Drosophila melanogaster: one gene and its partners. The protein of the gene in region 1 interacts with the protein of each later gene in a pairwise test. Each region holds a gene or a part of one and is shown in the gene's direction. Other genes may lie near its edges. The genes, in order: CG3213, CG34404, CG15580 and CG14540.

Region 1 (4,805 bases):
CTGCTTCTGGGTGCTCATGATGTCCTGGGCTTTCACACACCGCGTGTGGTAGTCCGATATTCTCTCCTGCTGCTGCCGAATGAGAGTTCGAAACTGGACCTGCTCGCTCTTCAGTCCCTTAATGGTGGTAAGGAGCTGGCTTATATCTCCAGAGTCCCTGTCCCTGTCTCTGTCCCTACCTCGATCCCGTTCATGCTTGTACTTCTGATCCTGATTAAGGAAGAAGGTTTAAGTTTTTATATTCCATTTAGCTAACAGCTAATTCATACCTGTGAGGTGTTGATCACATCCTTCAGCACATTGTACACATCCTTGAAGGATGCTGGCTCCCTTTCCCGATCGTCCTGCTCCAAGGATCTCTTCCTGCGCTTCACGTGACGGTTCGCCAGTGTTTCCACAATACGGCTGTCAAAAACGCTGTTCACCTGTGATGGCAGATCGTCCTTGTGCCGATGGTGATTCTGCTGATGAGTACTCCTTTCGGACGCGTATTTCTTTCTATCGATTTCGTCGCAGGAACTCTGGCCCGATAGAACGGTCATGAAACTGGTATTGCTGCGCAGGATTTGGGGGCTCTTTCGTCTGATGGTCGTCTGCGAGGTGACACTGCTGGCAGAGCTATAAAATCCATCCGGATCGGGCTCACTTCCCAGATCCATTTGCTGGGCCTGCTTCCTGCTGGACACGAACTGATCGTGCTTCTGCTGCATTTCGCACAGCTCGTAGTTAATTTTCATGTACTTCTCCTCCAGATCCTTGGTGCTTTCGTTGTAGTCCTTGAGCTCCTGCTTGTACTTGCAGAGTTCCTCCTTTAGCTTGCTGCCAAGGGCTTCCGAGTCTGGCAACCTCCTCTTCGAGCCCAAACCCTTTCTGTAATCTTCCGGCTCTTCATCACTCATGATTAGGCTGACCTCCTTACCTTCCCTGCTGTTCTTGGGTAATTTTGTTATACTGGGACTACAGTGGTCCCCGAAGTCCAAGCTACTGGCACTTCTCGTATCTAGTACTTTGGAGCTCGGCCTGGAGAGGCTGACATAGCTACTCTTTTCATTTTCATCTGCCTGATCTTCGTTCTTCTCATCCAGCTCGAAGTCCAGTCCCATTGAGGTGTTACTAGATGATGTTCCTTTGCGATTCTGTGGACGGAATCGAAGTGATCGTTGTCTGTTGGCTAATGGTCGCCTGGATGGCTTTAACATCTACGAAAATTTAGCCTATTTGGTTAATGTTGCACTTGTGTAATTTTTTGCACTGTTTTTGGCGAACAGAGAATTTTTTTAAAAACCTTATGTGACACATTCAATTCCCAAAAATATTAATTTTACGTAGGACGTGACGAAAATTATTTGATAGAAAATTGGGCGTTACGCCTACTCGAATGGCATTTGCCTTCTGGAAAATATCGCTGTTCGAGGATTGATTATATCCTTAAGGTTTATATAATAGTTTTAGATAATAAACCACATCTCCCAGTAGAGTGATAATTTATATATGTATATTCCTACTGATTGCCCTTTAAATTTCCCATTTCACCGTAAAACATTTTCATACTTTTATGTTAGTAAAGGATACAGGTAGATTCTCATAACATATTTTCGAATAGATTTAAAATTATTTATTAAGATATACCATTTCCTTCAAGTCGCACTGTGTTTTGATTTTGAACCAATTCAAGTAGCGGCAGTAGTAAATATAGTTGTTTGTTTCGCCGAATAGATGCCTCGATACACACTCCTCCCGAAGGACACATTCCTGACCATCCTGGGAGGGAGGACTCCGGTAATCCACCTCGACAAAGCAAGTCCTCGATCCCAATCCAGTTCTCCGGGATCTTTCGTTCGATTCTCCCAAGTCGAAGCAGGCCATTCCAAATCTGTTGCCAACTGCCCAGGGCGAATGTCCGTGGATTTTTCAGTTCATTTTATTCGATCACGAAGAAAACAACTTATTCTTCCCAAAACTTGTTTCGAAATTTTTTCAGAGTATGTGTTAAAATTTTCGCAGAATATACGTACCTTAAAATCGTTAGTAAATCTAGCCAAATATAAAAAAAAAAAAAAAAAAATTTTAACCATACAATTTTTGGCCGCATCGATAAGTGAATCTAAATCGCGATGGCAGAGAACACAGAGTACACCGATGAGGGCGGCGAGTACGAGGACGATGAGAACCAGTACCTTGGCGAACAGCACATGATGGAGGAGGGGCCCGACGAGGACCTCTTCTCCAAGCTGGGCGAGTCCTCCGACGATCCCGAGCAGAAGCGCATGTACATGGAGTACCTGGCGCTGATCAAGGAGATCGATTGCCAGAACAAGATCATCCAGGACATCAAGAGCAACATCATGGACATGTGCGCCAAGCCCTGCAAGACCCGCAACGAACTGCGCGAGATCAAGCGGTTGAGGATTTGCATGGAGCAGGAGAACATTAAGCTGCACACCATGATGAACAGAGCGGTGCAGCTGCAAAACTTCGGCTCCCATCGGCACTACAAGGAGCTGGCCATGACCACCACCGTCGACGAGGACAACCTGTCACCGTATATGTGTGGCATCGGTCCTTGTGCTCCAGCTGGCAGCGCCACGGATCCCTGTAGCGAAGAGCCTAGCTCGTGTGCCAGTGTTTGTGGTGGCGGCGGAGGCGGTGGAGGTCAACGGGACATGGCTGGTCAGGACGACAAGTTGATCTGCGCTCTGCAAAAGGCCATGCAGAAGATGAAGGGCGCTTGTCCTGAGGACAAGAAGATGATCGAAGAGATCGCCTGCGCTATAATGAGCTGCAAGAAGCAGCCGGTATGCGTTCCGGGTCCCTGTCCGCCACCACCCTGTCCGGGTCCTTGCCAAGGTCCTTGCCCGGAGAGCAGCAGCAGCAGCATTGCCCCATGTCCTCCTCCCTGTCCAGCCAAACGGAAGGCTCAGAAGGCTCCCTGCCCCCAGCCCCAGCCCCAGCCACCGGGCAAGTGCGAGTCCTTGGAGAAACTGAAGCGGCGCATCCAATGCATGCAGACCTCGGTGAAGAAGTTGCTCCAGGAGGTGAGCAATCGGGATGCGTCCGAACCCTGTGACGTCGACGACGATGACGATGAAGGAGAGGAGGACCCCTGCTCCAGGCCGTGTCCTCCCAGGCCGCCGTGTCCCGAGGATCCAGACCCACTGGTCATCTGCGGCGGAAAGCGGAACACCAAGGCCGACAAGTACGAGAAGATGAAGGAGAACTACACCAGGCTGCTAACCGAGTTTCAGCGCAAGGACTGCCAGATGAAGGAGATGCAGAAGCGAATGAAGGGTATCTGTGGTCCCTGTCCATCGAAAGGGGGCGACGGGGATGCCGATGCCGCCGAGCTGAATCTACTTCGAGCGCGGGTCAACGAGCTCAAGGAGGAGCAGCTGGAGTTCAAGTGCATCATGAAGGAGCAGTCGCAGCAGTTAGAGGACTACCGCAACAAGTACCTGCTGGCCCAGCAGAAGGTCGAGGAACAGTGCGTCTCCCTAGAGAAGCTGAACATGAACAACAAACGAATCGAACAGCAGATCAACACGGAGGTCAAAGAGATTCGAGCTAAGTTCCAAGAGAAACTGAACGAGTTACTGCACTTCCCCAAGCTCTTAGAGAACGAGCAGCTGAAGCTGGCCCAGGTTTGCAAGGAGAAGGATGAGATGCAGACGAAACTGGTGGTGGTCTGCAAGGAGCTCAAGGCCTGCAAGACGCAGATGGAGCAGCAACCCAACGTCGATGTGCGACCTCAGCTGGCCCAGTGCCAAATGGAACTGACTCAGGCCAGGAATGAACTGGAGGAGCTTCTCCGACAGAGGGATCTCTTCTGCGAACAGCTCAAGTCCACCCAAGACGATCTGGACACTCTGCGAACTGAATCCGCCAAGATCATAGCCGGCACCAAGGAACGGGCCGAGCTGATCAAGTCCCAGCAACAGGAACAGATCAATCGGCTTGAGAAGGAGTTGGCTCAGTGCCGAGCAACTGCCTCGCTGTCGGTCAACGATCGGGAGGCTGTCATCCGCGAGATGCAGGGTCAACTGAACACACTCTCCTACAGCTTCGATGCCGCCCAGAAGCAGATCAAAACGCTGCGCAATCACATCGCATATGTGTCCAACGAAAACTGCTTCCCCGTCAAGTGCTAAATGGGAAGAGATTCGGAACCATTTCGAATTCACATGCATATTCAGCATAAGGTGTCTGTGAAAGATAATGTAGCTTGCGTTCGAAAACCATTCACAAAGCATATAAATCATTTTGTAACGAAAATTTTAAATATTTCAATAAATATATAAGTATTTTGGCAAATACTTGCGTTCCTTTTATATCGTTGAAGTATTTAACCTAATTCATTTTATAGATTAAGGTTACAAAACTTATCTTGCTCAACGAAGAGATAGGCTGCTTATCTGCATTTAAACAGTGTAGTACTTTGTATGATCCAGATTAAGTTGGCACAACTGAGGTTTTTGTTTTGGCGCTCCATAGGAAACAAATAGATATTGCTTTATTCTGGCATTTGAGAGGAACATCTACAAATGGTCGGTTTGTGTACGTTAATGAGGTGCGCTCCTTGCGGCAAATGGCACAATTGAAACAAATCTACAGGGATTTGACGGCCAGTCTCTTCATCTTGGGCGCATTCCTCTTGGCCTGGCGCTTCTGCTCCTTAGCCTCCCAACGGCGCTGCTTCTCTGGGTCCTCGTCGGCCAGAATGCGCTCCTTCTCCTGCTTACGCTTATCCTCACGTCTCTGAGCGGCAGCCTCGGCGCGGGCGGCATGGGTGCTCTTCAAGAACTCCTCCT
Region 2 (5,952 bases), on another chromosome or scaffold:
GAGGCCAGCAACAAGTCGCGGGTACAGGCAATGGCCAGCGAGAATGCCGCTCGCAACAAGGAGGAGCTGCAGTGGCGTCGTGAGCGGGCAAACTTTATCTGCCACCTGGAGGGCCTCAAAAAAAGGAATGCCCAGCTGGCCTTCGACCTGAAGGCGGTGATCGATGAGAAGGAGGAGCTGATAACCGAGCGGGATGCCTACAAGTGCAAGGCACACCGCCTAAATCATGAACTCTTTGTGGCCCTCAGGGCGAAGAAAACGCATCCAAGGGTGAGTTAACTGATGCTATATAGTACTTACTTGATAGTTATTGATTTTCCAGCTCCTGGACATCGATGGTGTTTTGCTGGAGAACAAGTACCTGCATGAACGTGTGAAGATCCAAGACAGCGAACTGGAGCTCACCAAACAGAGCATCAATAAGTACAAGGTACTGGTATTAGTTAAGACTTATTACCATTTTATTTATTTATATTTAAATCATTCAGACAATGTTGGATGCAAAACGAAAGAAGGGAATTGTAAAACTTGGCGGTGGGAGCACAAATGAGGACACCATTCTAAGCCCCCGGCAAGGTGAGTAATTATATGGTGGCCACCTCTTTCATGCCTTTCTAATTTGTTTGTACCCTAGTGAAAACAATCCTCGAGAGTGGCATTGAGCTGCCTCAGAAAACCGAGAGCTTAAGCGATCTAAAATCCTTGTGTCTGGCCCTGCTGGACAATCTCAACGACAAGAACTTGGCCCTGACGCACCAAAAGAAGACCAACAAGTAGGAAAATCCAGCTGAAAGTTGATATATATTTCATAAACCCATATTTCCTGCAGAATACTGGCTGGCAAAATGACGGAGCTGGAGCAGCGGTGGCAACAACTCCTCTCCGGAAACGATGACAACGCAGAGGAGCAGGAGGAGGACGTGGAATATGGTTATGCGCCTTCGCAGCTGCTCCTCAATGGCTATTGTGCCGCCATGGTAGATGACGCCGACATCAGCAGCACTCCGTCCATTGAGCCAGATAACGAAGGCGTCGCCATTACAGCGGATCATGAAGATTCAAAGAAGCACAAGTCCGTTGAGGCTCTGCATTCCGACGATGGAATGTCCTCGCTTTCAACGGAGTCCGTGGATTCGTCTGTGTACGGTGCAGATGTGCAGCCCGATGACTTCCAAAAGTCTTCATCCGCCACAACAGATTCGGGCAACTGTGGATTGAGCAGCCGCTGCAACGGCACGCCACGAATATCCAGTGCAGTGGCACGGGAACGTATGGAGGATCTGAAGGACCTGCCGCCTCACCTGGCCACTCTGGTCCAGAAAGCACTTCACGATCTGGACATGCGGGACTACGAGGCTATGGTGACGATACGAGCAGAGAATCTGGCGGCTATTCCTTAGAGAAAAACTAGTTCAATTGAGGACTCCCAAAGAAATGGATGAAACCATATCTCAGTGTTGACAAAAGATATAATACATATATATATTACCGCAACAGCGTACAATAAAACCAGATTATATAAAATAAATCACTTTATTCAATCGATATTGCGTTGAAACTGGATATGTACAATAACTATAGCATACAGTTTTAAAAGACGCGCCCAAGTTATCGATAAATAATATGCGGAGTGTTGCATACCGTTAGCATAAACACACTCTCACACACTCTTATTTCTGGGTATACATTTTCTGATAAGAATGCAATAAATATCCCGACTGGTTGGAGTAATTTCGAGTTTTTGAATTAAAAATGCCTTAAGAAAAGTTTTTAATGAGCCATGTAGAGTTAACACCAGTGCCACATATCCTGGGAATGGAGCACCAATCAAAAGTCATCATCAAGCGGCCCAAATCAGGCCAATTCTAGTCGGAAAGTCGTTGCAGCCGCCCATTGCCACCATGTCGAATGATGTGCAGGTCGCCCGGGTGGCCAAGATAGCTACCGATGTGCCGCGTCGCAGTGGCAAGCAGCGTGACTCCAGCGGATTCCAGGGCAAGCACTCCGGCAGCGCGGCTGGCGAGGATTTCGAGTACGTCTTCGGTAGCATTTCGCCGCGCGGTGGAGGACCCGGTGGCAGGCACTTGGTGGGATCCTCCGACCTGGACTCTCCGGAGCACACGCAGCGGGACACCACCGAGAGTGACAACAACATATCCAGCTGCTCCACGCTAGACATTGTCAACAAAGTGAGTAATGATGCCCGCACTGAGAGAAATAACTAGATCTTAAATCAAAAAAATCAATATATTAATTTGCAATGATACATTGGTACTAAACATGATCAAGTTCATTTTAAATTAATTTTTAAAATGATCACAAAATATTTAAAAATACCTCATTATTGTGTAGTTTAAAATAAGAAACGCAGAATTTTCAATCATTGGTTTTCAAAGTGTTTCGGGCTTTAAATTCGGTTGGCGTCCAGTGCGCAGATGCGTGTGGAAGGCTGAGGGTCAAGTTGCAGCGGCGGAGAGCGCGGATGCATCCGCGGTCGGATGACGACGTAATCGCCAGTCAAAATTTTCCACTGGACCATGATTTCGGAGCAACTGCTTCCGCGCAGCTTGAGCTGCCTGTGCTGCAGCGATACGCCATCGGTGCCCAACGACAAGAGACGCAGTTGGGAGTATACGCTGATGGCTCATCCTCTGGCCAGACGGCCCATAAACGTGATGACCCCAAGAATAACCACTTAGAAAGCTCTAATCCGCCTCTTTTCTTTTGATTCACCTCCAGGTTGAGCAACTGTCGGTACAACAGCTAGAAAACCGGGTGCGGGATCTAACGCAGCGTCTGCAGCAGGCGGAAAGACAGCTCACTGAGAGCAACACAGAGCGGGAAATATGCCACAAGCGCTTGGAGGTTGTCAGCCAGGCCCACGAGTGTCGCATCACAGAGATGCACTGTGTCATCGCCGAGTTAAGCAAGAAATTGCGCAGTAAGCAGGACCACGTTATCATGGAGGAGCAGGAGCCCGACGGCAGCGGTGCGTAGCAGTTTCAAATGAGGGAAACAAACCCCTAACCGACAGTCTTGTTTTCAGAACTCAGCTTTCAGGAGGGTTCAGTGTACAATTCCGAGCTTAACCTCACCAATCCTGATGCCGAATGTCAAACAGAACCACTGGAAGACTTCGAGGGCGCCTGCAGTACCACCAGCGTGGGTAACGTTGCCCACAAACCGCCGGAACTGAGCCATAAGGGACAAGTGGAGGCACTGCAGGAGGAAGTTCTGCACTTGAGAGCTCGAATCGCCCTCCTCCAGTCCGAGATTTCCACCAAGGATGCTGCTGTGGTCGAGGAACAGACCAAAGTCGCCTTCGACTGCGAATCGGAAGTCAACGAGTGCGGACAGCGACTGAATGATTTGAATGGTAATATAAATAATCCTGATGATAAAAGAATGGTTACACATTTAGATGCTTTCAGTTTGCACTTCCTTGACAAGTCCGCAAAAACGCATTCCAGCGGTACCGAAAATGGCTGAACGGGTTAAGTTGCGGTGCGCCAGCAAACATGAATCCGGAGAAGATCCATCCCAAGATACTTCATTGAGCAACGAGGTGTGTTGACCAAAACTTTATTCAGAGAATACATTTCAACCCATACAACCCATAATTTTAAGCAAATTAATCTGGTCGAACATTTGGTGTCGGAGCTAAAGGAGCAAAATCTATATATGGAGAACTTTATGGAGCCCCTACATTTGAGCAAAGACTTGGAGCGACTGCAACGACGTGTTGAACAATTGGAGATGCGAAACACCATGCTGGCACTGACGCTAGACGAATGCAAGGAGCACACTGAGCATCTGTATCTGCTATGCGGAAAGTACGAGTCCAATGCGGTTGCTCTTCAGTTGGCGCTTAATTGCAGTGATCGCGCCATCGAGGCCTACGACGTAATGTTGGCTCTGCTCGAAAGCAAGTAAGTACAATCACCATAAGACGCGGGTTGTTGTCCCTATTTCACAATTCATCACTTCCAGGTTGGCACTGCTGGGGGAGAAATCAGTGGCAGCGGAAGAGAGTCGACGATCGGTGGAGGCGGTGGCCAGGCACCTGCTAGCCCGTTTGGATAGCGAGAAAAACGTTTGTGAGAACAGCCTGGGACCGTGGCAACACAACATCAACCTGGGCCCAGAGGATGCCCCAAAAACTGGCCGCCCGTGGTGTGCCGACGACGACAACCGCCTGCGTTACCACGTCTCCAAGCTGAAGGGACGTCGTTCCAATGTCCAGCATACCATTGTCAGTTTGGAATCACCCTTCAGCGACATATACGAAAGAAAGCGCCTGGCTTTGGAAAAGGAGCACGAACTTCGGAGCGCGGACAAGAAGTCACCCATTGACTTGGAGACAGCAGTGATTATGCAAGAAATACTCGAGCTGCGGGATTCGAATTTGCAGCTGAAGACAAAAATGGAAGAGGCCGAGCAGGAACGGCAGAACGCCAACGAACGAGTGGGCATACTCCACGAAGCCCTAAAGCAGCTACAGGCAAACAACCGGGTCTCGTATTCGGAGGCGGAGCATGCGGCTCTCACAGAGCAGCAGTTGGTGGAGGCCTTAACTCGAGAAACGGAGCTCAAGGGTCGCATACAGACGCTATTGGCAAATGTAACAGCTTCGCAGAAGGCCTTCGACGAAAAATACGAGCAACTGCATCAGAACGTGCGTGAACTGCAGAAATCCAACCAGTAAGATTCGTTTTATTTTGACTGTTTCATACATAATTTCTTCATATTTCCCTTTTAGCAATCTGGGCCAAATGTTAGATCACACCAAGCGCAAGTACCAGCTGCGGGTGAGGAAGCTAGAGCAGAAGATTGTTGACCTGCGGCTGGACTACGAGCAAGGCCATAACCATGTTCCTGAGACTACTCTGTAGGAAACGCATGACGACCTTCCAGGAGGACTGAGCAACTGGGCGTGGAGCGGGCGCGCTTGTCACATATCCCGCAAAAGATCTTTCCCTCTCGATCATATCGCTTATTTTACCTTTAATGCAATGACCACCCGCCCAGCAGTCGCCGTGGATCCGCCATGACCAAGACAGTATCACGAATGTGCCATGCGACTTAATTGCAGTCGGCTGGGGCTTGGGCGGTGTCCCTGCCTCGCAGATAAGGCTGCAGTAACTACATACTCAAATACATACATATTCAGAGGTGCCATGAGCAAGGCTCCACCAACCTATCCATAGATCCGTGGGATTGGAGCATCCGTCTATGGGCCACAAGCAATTACATATACACACATACGAATAGACAAACTAAGGAGTTATTCAAGACGCATACACGGGATCCTATATTTATACAATGTATTCGCATTTTGCTTGTTATATGATTCAATATGTATTTAAAACTGTACAAAATATAAAACGTCTACTAAAACTCGATAAAATTCACGAATTTGAAATTGGCTCCAATAATTAATCGATAAGCTAATGAAACTAACTTAAGCATCCATCACCATTTCGTGTAGTGTTGCAAATCACCAGAATCAAGTATATGAGTACTTGTGAAATAAAAATGTTTTGAAAATTTAACTTAATTTACTTAAAATGAGTGCCACAGATGCATCTACAGCCGATAGTGGCGCTAAACGAAAATCTTCTGAAGATATCACACACAATTGCAACGCAAATTTTGGCGCAGAAAACGGCCTAAGAAAGCGCGTAAAATCGGAGGAGCCTGTGGCGTCCATTAAAGATGAAACAAATCCTGAAGTTCCTATGAAAATAAAAGCTGAGCCAGTGGAGAATGCAGATGAGCCCACAAGCACTACTCCTGCGATCAAGATTAAAGCCGAACCAGCGGACAATGGAAACTCACCTGCAGCTGCGATGGTAAAAACCGAGCCCACTAATAGCAATGCACAGGACGCCGCCGACGAGTCTACCGTATCTTCAAGCAGTATTAGGACTTCTTGTCGCTTCGGCATACGAT
Region 3 (5,217 bases), on another chromosome or scaffold:
CGCGACTGAAACTTACATTGTATTTCTATTTGTGAGGCAGCGTCATTTCCGGTTTAGATCGTCCCCGGAGCCAGTGTTGCAAACATGTTAAGCAATCGCGCCAACTTTTTGGTCTTTTCGCCTCAGGGGAAAGGCAAAACTCTGCCGTGAGACGAACGGCAGCTCGTAAATTTCAAAAATTTGAAAACAACAGCGCCGGCAACATATACTTTTCGCGCGCTGGCCGAAATTATTTTAAATCACCTGCTGCCCGGCATTTATCATCAGAGCCAGTCGGACAAGTCGGACTCCCTAACGACCGCAGCCAGTCTTCAGCTCAACTCCCAGGACGACTACAACGGCAGCGAGATTTGCGAAGAGCACTTTATTTTGGCCAAGCCATTGCCACGCCTCCGTCCCCAAGCCCCCATCCACACTCCATCCACGCAGTGAAGTTTTCTCCACCTAACACCGACCCACTCATAATGTCCGCGCTTCTGATGTTATTTTGCCATTTTCGCTCTGGTTTGCGGCTGGGGGAAAACTGTTTTGTTATCACGGTGATAAATGGAAAATTATTTTGAATCGAGCAACTACTTAAAAGAATTCCCAAAGGTTGTAATAAATTTTGGGGCACACACATACACACATACATTCACGTCCGAGAAGGACATGCGAGGAAGGACAAGTTGGTAAGACCGAATCCGAGTTGAGCTGGCTTGGTAATGTCCTTCCAGATAAAAAGGTGATTGACGAAGCGAAAGCAAAAGTCATGGTCGAACTTCCACTTAGCAATGCAGTTGTCGTTCACAGAAAAGGACCAACGACGATGTCGGTGGTTGTGTTGTGTGTAGTGGTGGGCTGGATGGCGAATTTCGTCCTGGCATGCACTTAATTTGTACTGGGAGCTGGGGACCTGGGGCTCCTCCACTTGCTCTGAAGAAATACTCCAAGTTGAGCATATTCACAAAGCTTTGCAGAGCCAGGAATGCTATAGGTGCACACCGTGCCAAATTATTTCCTTACAACTTTAAAACTAAACATTTTATTATATGATACATCCTGGAATATAGCCCACATAGGTAGGAAGTAACAGCTCTTCCGGGAAAATATTATAGCTTATCAACAGTACCACTATAATTAAATAATAATAAATATGCATTAAAAATATAAATATTTTATATGTCCTGGTCACAAGAATTGATACAAAGTCGTTTGGTTTTCTTAAGTGCAGCGTCTTTGTTGGCAGGAGCAGCTACATGCACTATGGAAACCACTTCCAAACTGGGGGCCATCTCCGATCCAGGCACAAAGGCACCCGGACAGGACGAGCACACTCAGCGAGCAGCTCTAACAACATCTATTTTTATTTCATTAGGTAGAAAAATAGCCGGCAAGGTGAAGCTCCTGGCAGCTTCGCCATCAAAACAAAGCGCTGAATATTGGCCAAAACGGAATGGAACGGGGCGGGCGAAGCGGGGCTGGCCACAAAAAGAAACTGCTCTTCGCTTCTCAATTAGGTTAGCTTAATTTAAATTTGCTTCGAGTGCTTGGCAAGTGCTTGCGAGACATTAGCAGCAAATATTAGCAAACGCTTAAAGAGCGCCGTAAGTGGAAAATATCTTAGGCGAGTTTTCTTAAATTAGCCGTTGTAAACATTTGTTACGCACTCGGGTCGGGATTTAGAGTGTCTTAAATGAAAACCGGACAGTTTTTAATGAGGAAGTACGTTTGGCAGGTGCGAGATAACTAAAACATAAAACATGTTCATTGGAGTATGAAGATAGACAAACGGCACTTCCATAAATGTATTAAGGTGCACTGGAACACATGGGTTAAAACCATGTTATACTTATCGATCACTTTCAGAAACAAACTTCAAAAAAAAAGACTTTCAACGCACAAACAAACATACTCGAAAATAACTCCATATGGACTTTGAAGATGATGAGGAGGTTGTGCAACCGCACTATGCTCAGAAATTCCGGGCTCCCACCGATCCCCTCCTTCTGGCCACATATGAGCTTTTTAAGCCCTCTCATCAGACCTTGAACCTATACAGCGAACGGAATCGCGAGATTTTTGCGGAGGCCTTTATAGAGGGAAACTTGAACACTTTAGTCAATCTGAGCGTAAAGAGTCTGGCCAAGCTGGGCATTCGAGGCATATCTCCAACTTTGCAGGCGAGTCCCCAGCTTATGAGGATATTTTACGACGCACTGGATGTGGAGCTGCCTTTGAGGTATGTAACGAAACGGATACAAGTATTTTCATTACATAACCTATAATTTAACATTTGACGCCACTAACTTTATATCGTTATTTACTATGGTTACAAACCCTAATAACTTTATATATATTTCAAAGAGATTGCTATTTGATCGAGGATCAACGATTTTGGCGACGCGTCGTACTAAGCAAGACTTTGGACAAAACGTTGCACCTGAAGCGCTGGAACGAGTTCGACTGGAAGGCTGAGGGTGTGAGCCGGAAGTTTGTGGAGCAGGTTGAATCATGTCCTGTGAACGTGAAGCCGCAGAGAAGGCTGGCTCAGTTGGCTGAAATTGTTTGGCAGTATGTCAACTCCATGCACATCCGCAAGCTGCAAGCTCTGCCCGACTATGCCTTCATTAAGCACTTGGAGAGCGAGCCTGAAGAGGATATATCCTCGGAGTCATCCGACGAGGAGGAGATATCTAGCGATGAGCCGGATACGGAAATGGACGAGGGCGAGGAGGAGCACAAGTCTAGTAGTTCCAGCAGCGAGGCAGCTATTACTTTCTGGCGTGCGGAAACCGAGAACGAGGACACAATTCGCCGGAATGCGCGACATCTGCGCAACGCCAACCGCCAGCAGGCTCGGGATGCCATTGCTAGGAAACGGGAGGATCGCAAGGAGCGCAAGAGGAAGCGCCAGGAGAAACTGGACGCCTTGAAGAATGCGGATCAATCGGGCAAGAAAAAGAAGAAAAAGAAGAAGGAACCGCCCATTCGAGACGTGTTCAGCATAAACGTTGCTCCAGAAGAAGGTGATGACGAGGACACAAAACCGGACAAGCGCAACAAGCAGCTGCTGCTGGAGCGGATCAAGCGGTATGACTATCCGGAGGACCATTGTCATCACATTGATCTGGGATTTGTACGATATTTTGAAAATATGATGTCTCTGACGCTGGAGTTTTTGGGACCACCTGATGTAAAAGACTATCAAAGGTAAGCTCTTAAATTAGAATGTTATGGTAAGAAACAACATCGAAGAAGTGAAACGTGCTGTACACGATTTGTATAACATGTTTTCTCTGAGATAAATGGAACCAAATAAATACATGTGAAGTAGAGTTCTAAAAGCGCCAAGAGTCTACAGCTGCATCGCCTACCACCAGCATTTAAATTAAAATTGCTAGCTTAAACTTAACTTAACTTGTACCTTACAGCCGTTATATGAAGTTCTCAGACAGTGATATGGTTCGTCTTAGCAAAGGTCTGAAATACTTACCGAGCCTCAAGACCTTCAGGCTTCGAAACAGTCGCCTGAGTATGAAGAAGTTTCGTATCCTGACCCGTGCCCTTCAGAACTTAGACACCCTTGATGAGGTGGATTTTGGTTATGACCAAATGACGGATGAGTGCAGCGAAGGCCTGGCCTATTTGCTAAAGCGCCCTTTGATGTACCGCAGTATCCAGCTGGAACACAACAAATTGGGCGCCAATTGTGCAATTGTGCTGGGCGAGGCGTTGAGCCAATCGCAAGTGGGGGTTTTGGAGTATCTGGGCCTGGCTCACAATCCGCTTAATGAATTGGCCCTGCATTCGCTCATAACGTGTATTATCGGAACCCCCCATGTGTGGGCCCTCAACATTTCGGGGATCAACACCACCCTGGGTTCGTTTTCCCGTGATATAGGAACCCTCCTGCGCAGCCACACTCCTCTGATGAGCCTCGAAATGGCCGCCATCAACATTGGCATCTCGCAAGGGAATCAAATACTGAGATCCCTGGAAAAGAATACCCGAGTAAGTATAACATTGAATTAGGTTGGATCGCTGATAATGACCACTTTTGCGAAAGGGGTGCTGAAGATCATTTTTAACTGAGTATTGAACTTACATTCCTATCCTAAGATCCTATACGCCGACTTCCGGGAATGTGAGCTGAGCTTCGACCAGGAATTCGAAGTGGACATGATAGTGCGTCGGAATAACTACATTCATGAAAACCTCCACCACGGCGAGAATCTGTGTAAGGTGGTCAAGGAGCGCCGCCATCCGATTGTCCAGCGAATCGAGGAGGATTTCGCCCGGCGGAAGGGGTGCACGGAGGTGCGGCCGAAGTTCTCGAGCTCCAGCAAGGAATCCATTCCGGAGGTGGTCGTTGAGAAGAAGGAGGTCGAGGAGGAGGGCGACATCTGGGCAATGTTGGCTCGGTGGAACCAGCCGACAGCGCCTGAAGTGAGGGAATCGCACACTTCAAAGGATTCGCACCCCTCTCAAAATGGAAAGACAGAACCATTTGTTTTCGAACCCAACAAGTTCGATCTGGACCAGTTCCGGAAGTCTGTCTTTCTGCCAGGCCCTGGCAATCGCTTTTTCTACCTGCAAAGGAACAAAACTCCCTAATTTGTAGCCCTTTTCACCACCTACAATTGTACATTGCATAACATTGTACTCTGAGTATATTTTCAAAGCATTAAACGCACCACTTAGCAGTCCAACATAGTCCCTATCATTCTCGAGGGCTTGGAATGTCATTCGACCTAATGGTCACTTTAAACCTTCGCCATAAAGTGCCGCGCTGGCATAAACTGAGATCTAATTAAGTCGCTGGCAACGTGTTCGCCTTGGAGCCACGCCCACAATTCCGGGGGCCACACCTCGACCGAAGGTCATTGCAGAGCACAGCAAGTGCAACAAAGTTGAGCAGTTTGCATTTAAGCAGCGGAGATTTGGGCAACAGTGTCTCCAATTTAATGCCACTTCCCCTGGCTACTTCTGCCTTCCAAGCTCCACAGTCAATTCCATAAAATCGTGGGCGTACACTCGGAAAAAATAGTATAATTTCCATGTTGATAAAACAAACTAGAAAGCACTTAAAACACCAGTCCTAAAAACAGCATGTTAAATCCTTTTAACACTTTAGTTAAAAGAATTTTTCAATTCATATTACTTCATTTGAAGACTTAATTTCCAATGTTAACTAGCGGTGATTTTATTGGAAGGCTTCATTTCTTTTAAAGTTTT
Region 4 (4,840 bases), on another chromosome or scaffold:
TGGTTCTCAGTTTAATCATTACTGATTAAATTTAACAAGAAAAGTGCTCTGTTTAGAAATTCTCATTAAATGTTTTGCCATCAAACCAAAAATAGATACCTTAAATCGTGCAAGTGACGTTTTATGGGTGGGCAGTGGCAAAGTATTCGGAAAATCATGAAAAGTCTTGAGGATCTTGTTGACAGGGGACAAATTTATGCGTGAGAGAAATGCTGCAACACTCACTTGCCTTTTAATTGACTGGGCCTGCAATTAAAAATAAAGAAGTGCCAGTGCAAACATTTCGTATTTCATGTGCCTTACGAAAGCTGTACAATTTGTGGTCACCATTTGGATGATTTATCTGCGCCGCGGGGCGACTTTTTTGGGTGATAAATTTCTTGGAAATATCTCCGCCTTAAGCAATTCTAATGCCGAGTCCCATTAAAATTTATCGTTCCGCATAATGCTAATGACTTATATTAATTTTGGAATGGCTCACGTTTTGCTCTGTAAGTCAGTTGGCATTTTGCTGATAATCAGTCCAAACAGTCTATGGCATAGAATCAGTGGCCAATCAAGTCAGTTTGGCCGGAACAACTAATAATGGTGATTATTTTTTGTATCACCATGACAATGTCAACATGAACGTCATTCAGATGGGACTCAAAGGCTTAATGGCAGCTTCTCTGCGCATTTGCAACAAATAAAGCCTGTCTGACCTTTGTTGCTTCCTCGAATGTTGCAATATTTATGCGCACACATGCAGAGGATGGAAATTCAAGGCTCAACTGCAGGCCAGGATCTTAAATTATAGTCAACTGTTGTCGGCCGTTCATGGTTCATTTATATTTATGACTAGGGTACACACAAAACGAATTAAATGAGCTGTTCTTGGGGTCGTTTAGGGGAAGAGAAAATGAAAAGGGTGTACATTAAATGAAAATTATTCCCACAGATATCATCTCGTTCCTAATAGCATTCGCATGCAACAGATTGTCAACAAAATGATTTGCTTGCGGAAAGGGGAGAAGGCCTCCTGCAGTGGGCAGCAGCACACGCGTCGTATGCGCAATTTGCATAATGAGGACATGAGACAAGGAGTTGGCATGGGCATCATGGGTTTTCCGTTTCAAGGCACCGTCCCCACAGACAGATGACCCAATTTTTAAGGGTCCTTCAGCACTTTATTGAGCGCCTTTCTAAATCCCTTTCGCTTTGCATTCCCTTTATGTCTTAAGTGTCTGTAACCTGAGGCTAAGCGGTCTATTTTCAGCAGTCCAGACATGACCTTAAAGCTAGTTGCCTACTTAAGGATTCCTCCAGCGTGGCCATGCCACGCATTCGAATCATTCGCCTTGGATACACGGCAGCCCGAGGAGGTTCAAAGGTAAATAATCGGATAAATATTTGTAATAATTTCTTGAACGATGAACCACTTCCAAGCGAACAGCAAGTGGTATCCAAAACCACTTTCGCACTCACAATCAGATGCAGCTCATTAGCATTTGATTTGGCGTCGAACCGAAGAAATATTTCCGGCAAAGCGGGCAAACATTGAACCTTTGCTCTGTGTCATTGCCATTTGCGGTTAGTTGAGCGGCAAAAGGTAAACAAATTTACGGGAAAACTCCCTCACCACCTGTGGTTTGAATAATGAAGAGGTGTTTGAGGTGTGAAAATAAATTTGGTAGAAACGAAGCGCTGGAGTGAGTAATCAATATGAATGCGATTTAGGTGCAGAGATCTATCATTCCGTGGTAAATATGTATATATTGTACAACTCATACTCTTCGTATAAGGAAGTGAATCAAAATTTGACAAATAACCATAATAACGATTATTTCTGATTATTTTGATAAATGCGAAATGCGACGAAAATGTATGTCGTTAATGTTTCAGTTTATTCACACGAGTAATATTTATCCAATCTATCTATCCAGTAGGCTGGTGTTATAACATTCACTATCTTTCTATATCCCTCATTCATTTTAGCTAAATCATCCAAAGAACATAAATAGATGTAAAATATATCAAATACAGTTTATACATTATTGTGCTTTTGCGTTTATTGGTGCAACTCGAGGCCAACGAAAGTTTGTTTCGGTGAGTAAAGAGCCTTTGGATGAAGATGGTGCGCCCAATTCGTCGCAAGGGAATCGAGGAGGTCTATGGTTCCAAAATGGATTCCTTGCATCCGGTAAAGTCGGTAGCGATATCCCATGCAGGTGTGACCAAGAAAACAGCAAGGGCTGAGAGATCGGGTCCAGGCGGTGCAACTGGCGGTGGAGGAACCATTAGCTCCCGACAAGTCGATGCTCGCACTCAGCGCAGTTTTGTCACCGAAAATGATTACTACATCACCACCAATCTGCCGTTGACGGCGGCCAATCTGCGAAATGCCCCCGGTTCGATGGCGCAGCCATCAATATCGCAAATGATTCCCGGCCATGTCCAGCCATCTCCATATAACGCCATGCCCTCGAGGCGAAACCAAATGGCCAATAAGGCCAGTGCTCGTCAGGCGCCGATGAACAAGGTGCCGCATTTTAGCCCGGCCGAAGGCACGGTAAACCCTAATGGCTATGGCATGTCCAAGTCGAAGGAGACATACCGAATGAAGCACCGCGAAAAGGGCAATACCCAGAGGAACGACTATCCAATGGATGACAACGACGACTACTCCGATAAGGAACTAATGGTGCCCCAGCAGGGAAACATGGGAAATATGCGCCGGCACAATCCGCACTCTCATGCCCATCAAATGCAAATGCAGTTGCAATCCGGAGCAATGCAGCATCCGCCGCAACACCAGCTGCACCAGCAGCAGCAGATGACTACTCACAACCACCTCAAGCATCAGCAACAGCAGCGCCTCCAGCATTCGCAACCGCATCAGCATCAGCATCAGCATCCGCATCCGCATCAGAAGCAGATGCGTGGGCGACAGCCTGTTCCGGCGAGCAAGGTGCACGTGAGTACCGCCGATGACGATGAAGATAAGGAGGAAGATCCTGAGGAGTTCTTTGACCTGATCCGCCAGACTGTCAAAACGGCCGTTGGCGTGAGTTTCGCATAAGTTCCTTAGTTGATTAGTTAATACACTATGCACTTTCTTTAGAACACCATATCCGATGCTCTGGCAAAGAACTTTCGCGATCTGAGCCACAAAATCGAAAGGTTCTCGGGCGAGTTGAAGCAGACAAACGATAACCTGGATAAGCTGCAGGAACAAGTCATTAGCAGTGAGTTTATTTACTTTCAGTGTTTATTTGGTATTTATAATATGTAACTATTTTTTGGCATCTGCAGAGGTAATTTACTTCGGTGAGGAAAATTCGCGACACTTTCGGTACTTGTGCATGAAATCCGAGTACGATAAAATGTTTTACCAGCATCAATCGCTGATGAATGGAAAGCCCACTCAGGAAATGCTGAGTCTTTCGAAGGCGAACTTAGAAGCAGCGGCCTCAGTCAGTCAGAATCTGACACAGAAACCGTCGCATAGTTTAAAACAACAACCAGGAAAAGTGATTAGGAATCAAAGCAAAATGCCTATTAGCGCCAAAAAAGACCATAACGAGTCCCTAATGAACTCCAGTGCCTATCGTAGCATCTGCAAAGCTCAGCAGCCAGTTCTTGCTGCACAAAAGTCGTCATCGGAGCAAAGTTTAGTTGTAAAATCATCTGATGTGGGCGTGCAAGAAGTCCTGGATAATATCCAGCGCTACTGCAATCAGGTGAAGGATATGAATGGTCAGATGTCGGCTGAACTGCCCAGTCTCGAGGACATCTTGATACCCAAGAAAAATTCAAACGGTGGACTTTGTCAGCCAGCAGCCATGAGCTCTAGGACCCTCGCAGGTAGTCAGAAAAATAAAAAGGTTGACGACACGGAGATCGAAACGCCCAACGATAGTACGGATGAGACCTACACCGAAGTGGATGACTTCCAGCTCTCCTCGGACATCTCGACCGGCAGCGAGGACGATGACTGTGGCCTCAAGTATCCAAGTGGAGCAACTACGAGCCGGCCCAACCGCAAATTAAATCGAAGGGGAGCCAACCAAGGCGCCGGAGATGGTCAGTAAAGCCACTGGAGTGAAGATAAAGGAGCATTCAAACTGAAGGGGAACCCATTCCTAGAAATCGCCTTAATACTTATTTAAATATTACTTTTGGCATGACCTAAATTATTTCTGATAATGTAAAGCCAAAAAAAATTGGATCAAATGTTTCGACAAATTAACTATAACTTATCGTACCTGGCGTACATGTATTCATTTAATTCATTTTTAGGATCACAATTAAACTATGTTCAAAATTTAAAACTGGCTTTCATATTCTTATTTATGTTATGTGAACAGCTTACATTGAGCATAAAACTGACCTATTTGGCCCTTGGCAATCCCGATTCTCGCTGAGTAATGCCCATTGGTGTCACTAATAAGTGCATATTATATTGACTGCAAAGCAAGAATCAACTGAGCTGGCCAAAACAAGGCATCACCCCCATCCGGCAACCGGGTAAAACTGAGTCGAGTGGAAAATAAGGCCTAAGACCACCCCCACTAGCCCTAACCTGCAGCTGCATTTTTATGGGCTTACGAGTGTCGCGGCTCTGCAAGTTCTTCCGCTAGTTCAGTTGGCCAAAACAGTTTAAACGTGGACGTGGTCCGTCGGTAAGATATTGGTGCGTCTATTCAAAGTAAAATGAGTATTTAAATAAAAAGCCAAACAGCTTAATAAGGCCATATAGTTGCTTTTTGGGCAATTAAAGTTAAACCCCCTAAAGGAATTGAGCTCTAAATTAAACTTATGCAACGTGGCCAAATGAAAATGCTTACTTTTCAACTGATGT

What was found.
Region 2: the proteins of CG3213 (region 1) and CG34404 interact in a two-hybrid assay, tested with the Drosophila melanogaster proteins (one large-scale study listed by BioGRID).
Region 3: the proteins of CG3213 (region 1) and CG15580 interact in a two-hybrid assay, tested with the Drosophila melanogaster proteins (one large-scale study listed by BioGRID).
Region 4: the proteins of CG3213 (region 1) and CG14540 interact in a two-hybrid assay, tested with the Drosophila melanogaster proteins (one large-scale study listed by BioGRID).

The regions. Positions count from the first base shown.
Region 1 is NT_033779.5:3,516,773-3,521,577, reverse strand, and holds CG3213 (uncharacterized protein), read left to right. Parts: upstream 1-1,926; 5' UTR 1,927-2,114; coding exon 2,115-4,145; 3' UTR 4,146-4,305; downstream 4,306-4,805. Other genes in the region: CG8851 (uncharacterized protein), read right to left, coding at 1-210, 270-1,199, 1,630-1,866; CG17593 (uncharacterized protein), read right to left, coding at 4,603-4,805.
Region 2 is NT_033777.3:15,363,384-15,369,335, reverse strand, and holds CG34404 (uncharacterized protein), read left to right. Parts: upstream 1-1,670; 5' UTR 1,671-1,901; coding exon 1,902-2,189; intron 2,190-2,513; exon of another isoform or gene 2,514-2,537; coding exon of another isoform or gene 2,538-2,672; exon of another isoform or gene 2,673-2,739; coding exon 2,740-2,989; intron 2,990-3,046; coding exon 3,047-3,376; intron 3,377-3,431; coding exon 3,432-3,565; intron 3,566-3,627; coding exon 3,628-3,929; intron 3,930-3,990; coding exon 3,991-4,701; intron 4,702-4,759; coding exon 4,760-4,892; 3' UTR 4,893-5,403; downstream 5,404-5,952. Other genes in the region: CG14868 (uncharacterized protein), read left to right, coding at 1-270, 323-430, 489-576, 635-773, 830-1,400; CG6171 (uncharacterized protein), read left to right, coding at 5,568-5,952.
Region 3 is NT_033777.3:6,054,184-6,059,400, reverse strand, and holds CG15580 (uncharacterized protein), read left to right. Parts: upstream 1-1,864; 5' UTR 1,865-1,910; coding exon 1,911-2,221; intron 2,222-2,346; coding exon 2,347-3,192; intron 3,193-3,413; coding exon 3,414-3,993; intron 3,994-4,101; coding exon 4,102-4,596; 3' UTR 4,597-4,689; downstream 4,690-5,217.
Region 4 is NT_033777.3:25,957,372-25,962,211, forward strand, and holds CG14540 (uncharacterized protein), read left to right. Parts: upstream 1-1,907; 5' UTR 1,908-2,104; coding exon 2,105-3,043; intron 3,044-3,100; coding exon 3,101-3,224; intron 3,225-3,291; coding exon 3,292-4,070; 3' UTR 4,071-4,315; downstream 4,316-4,840.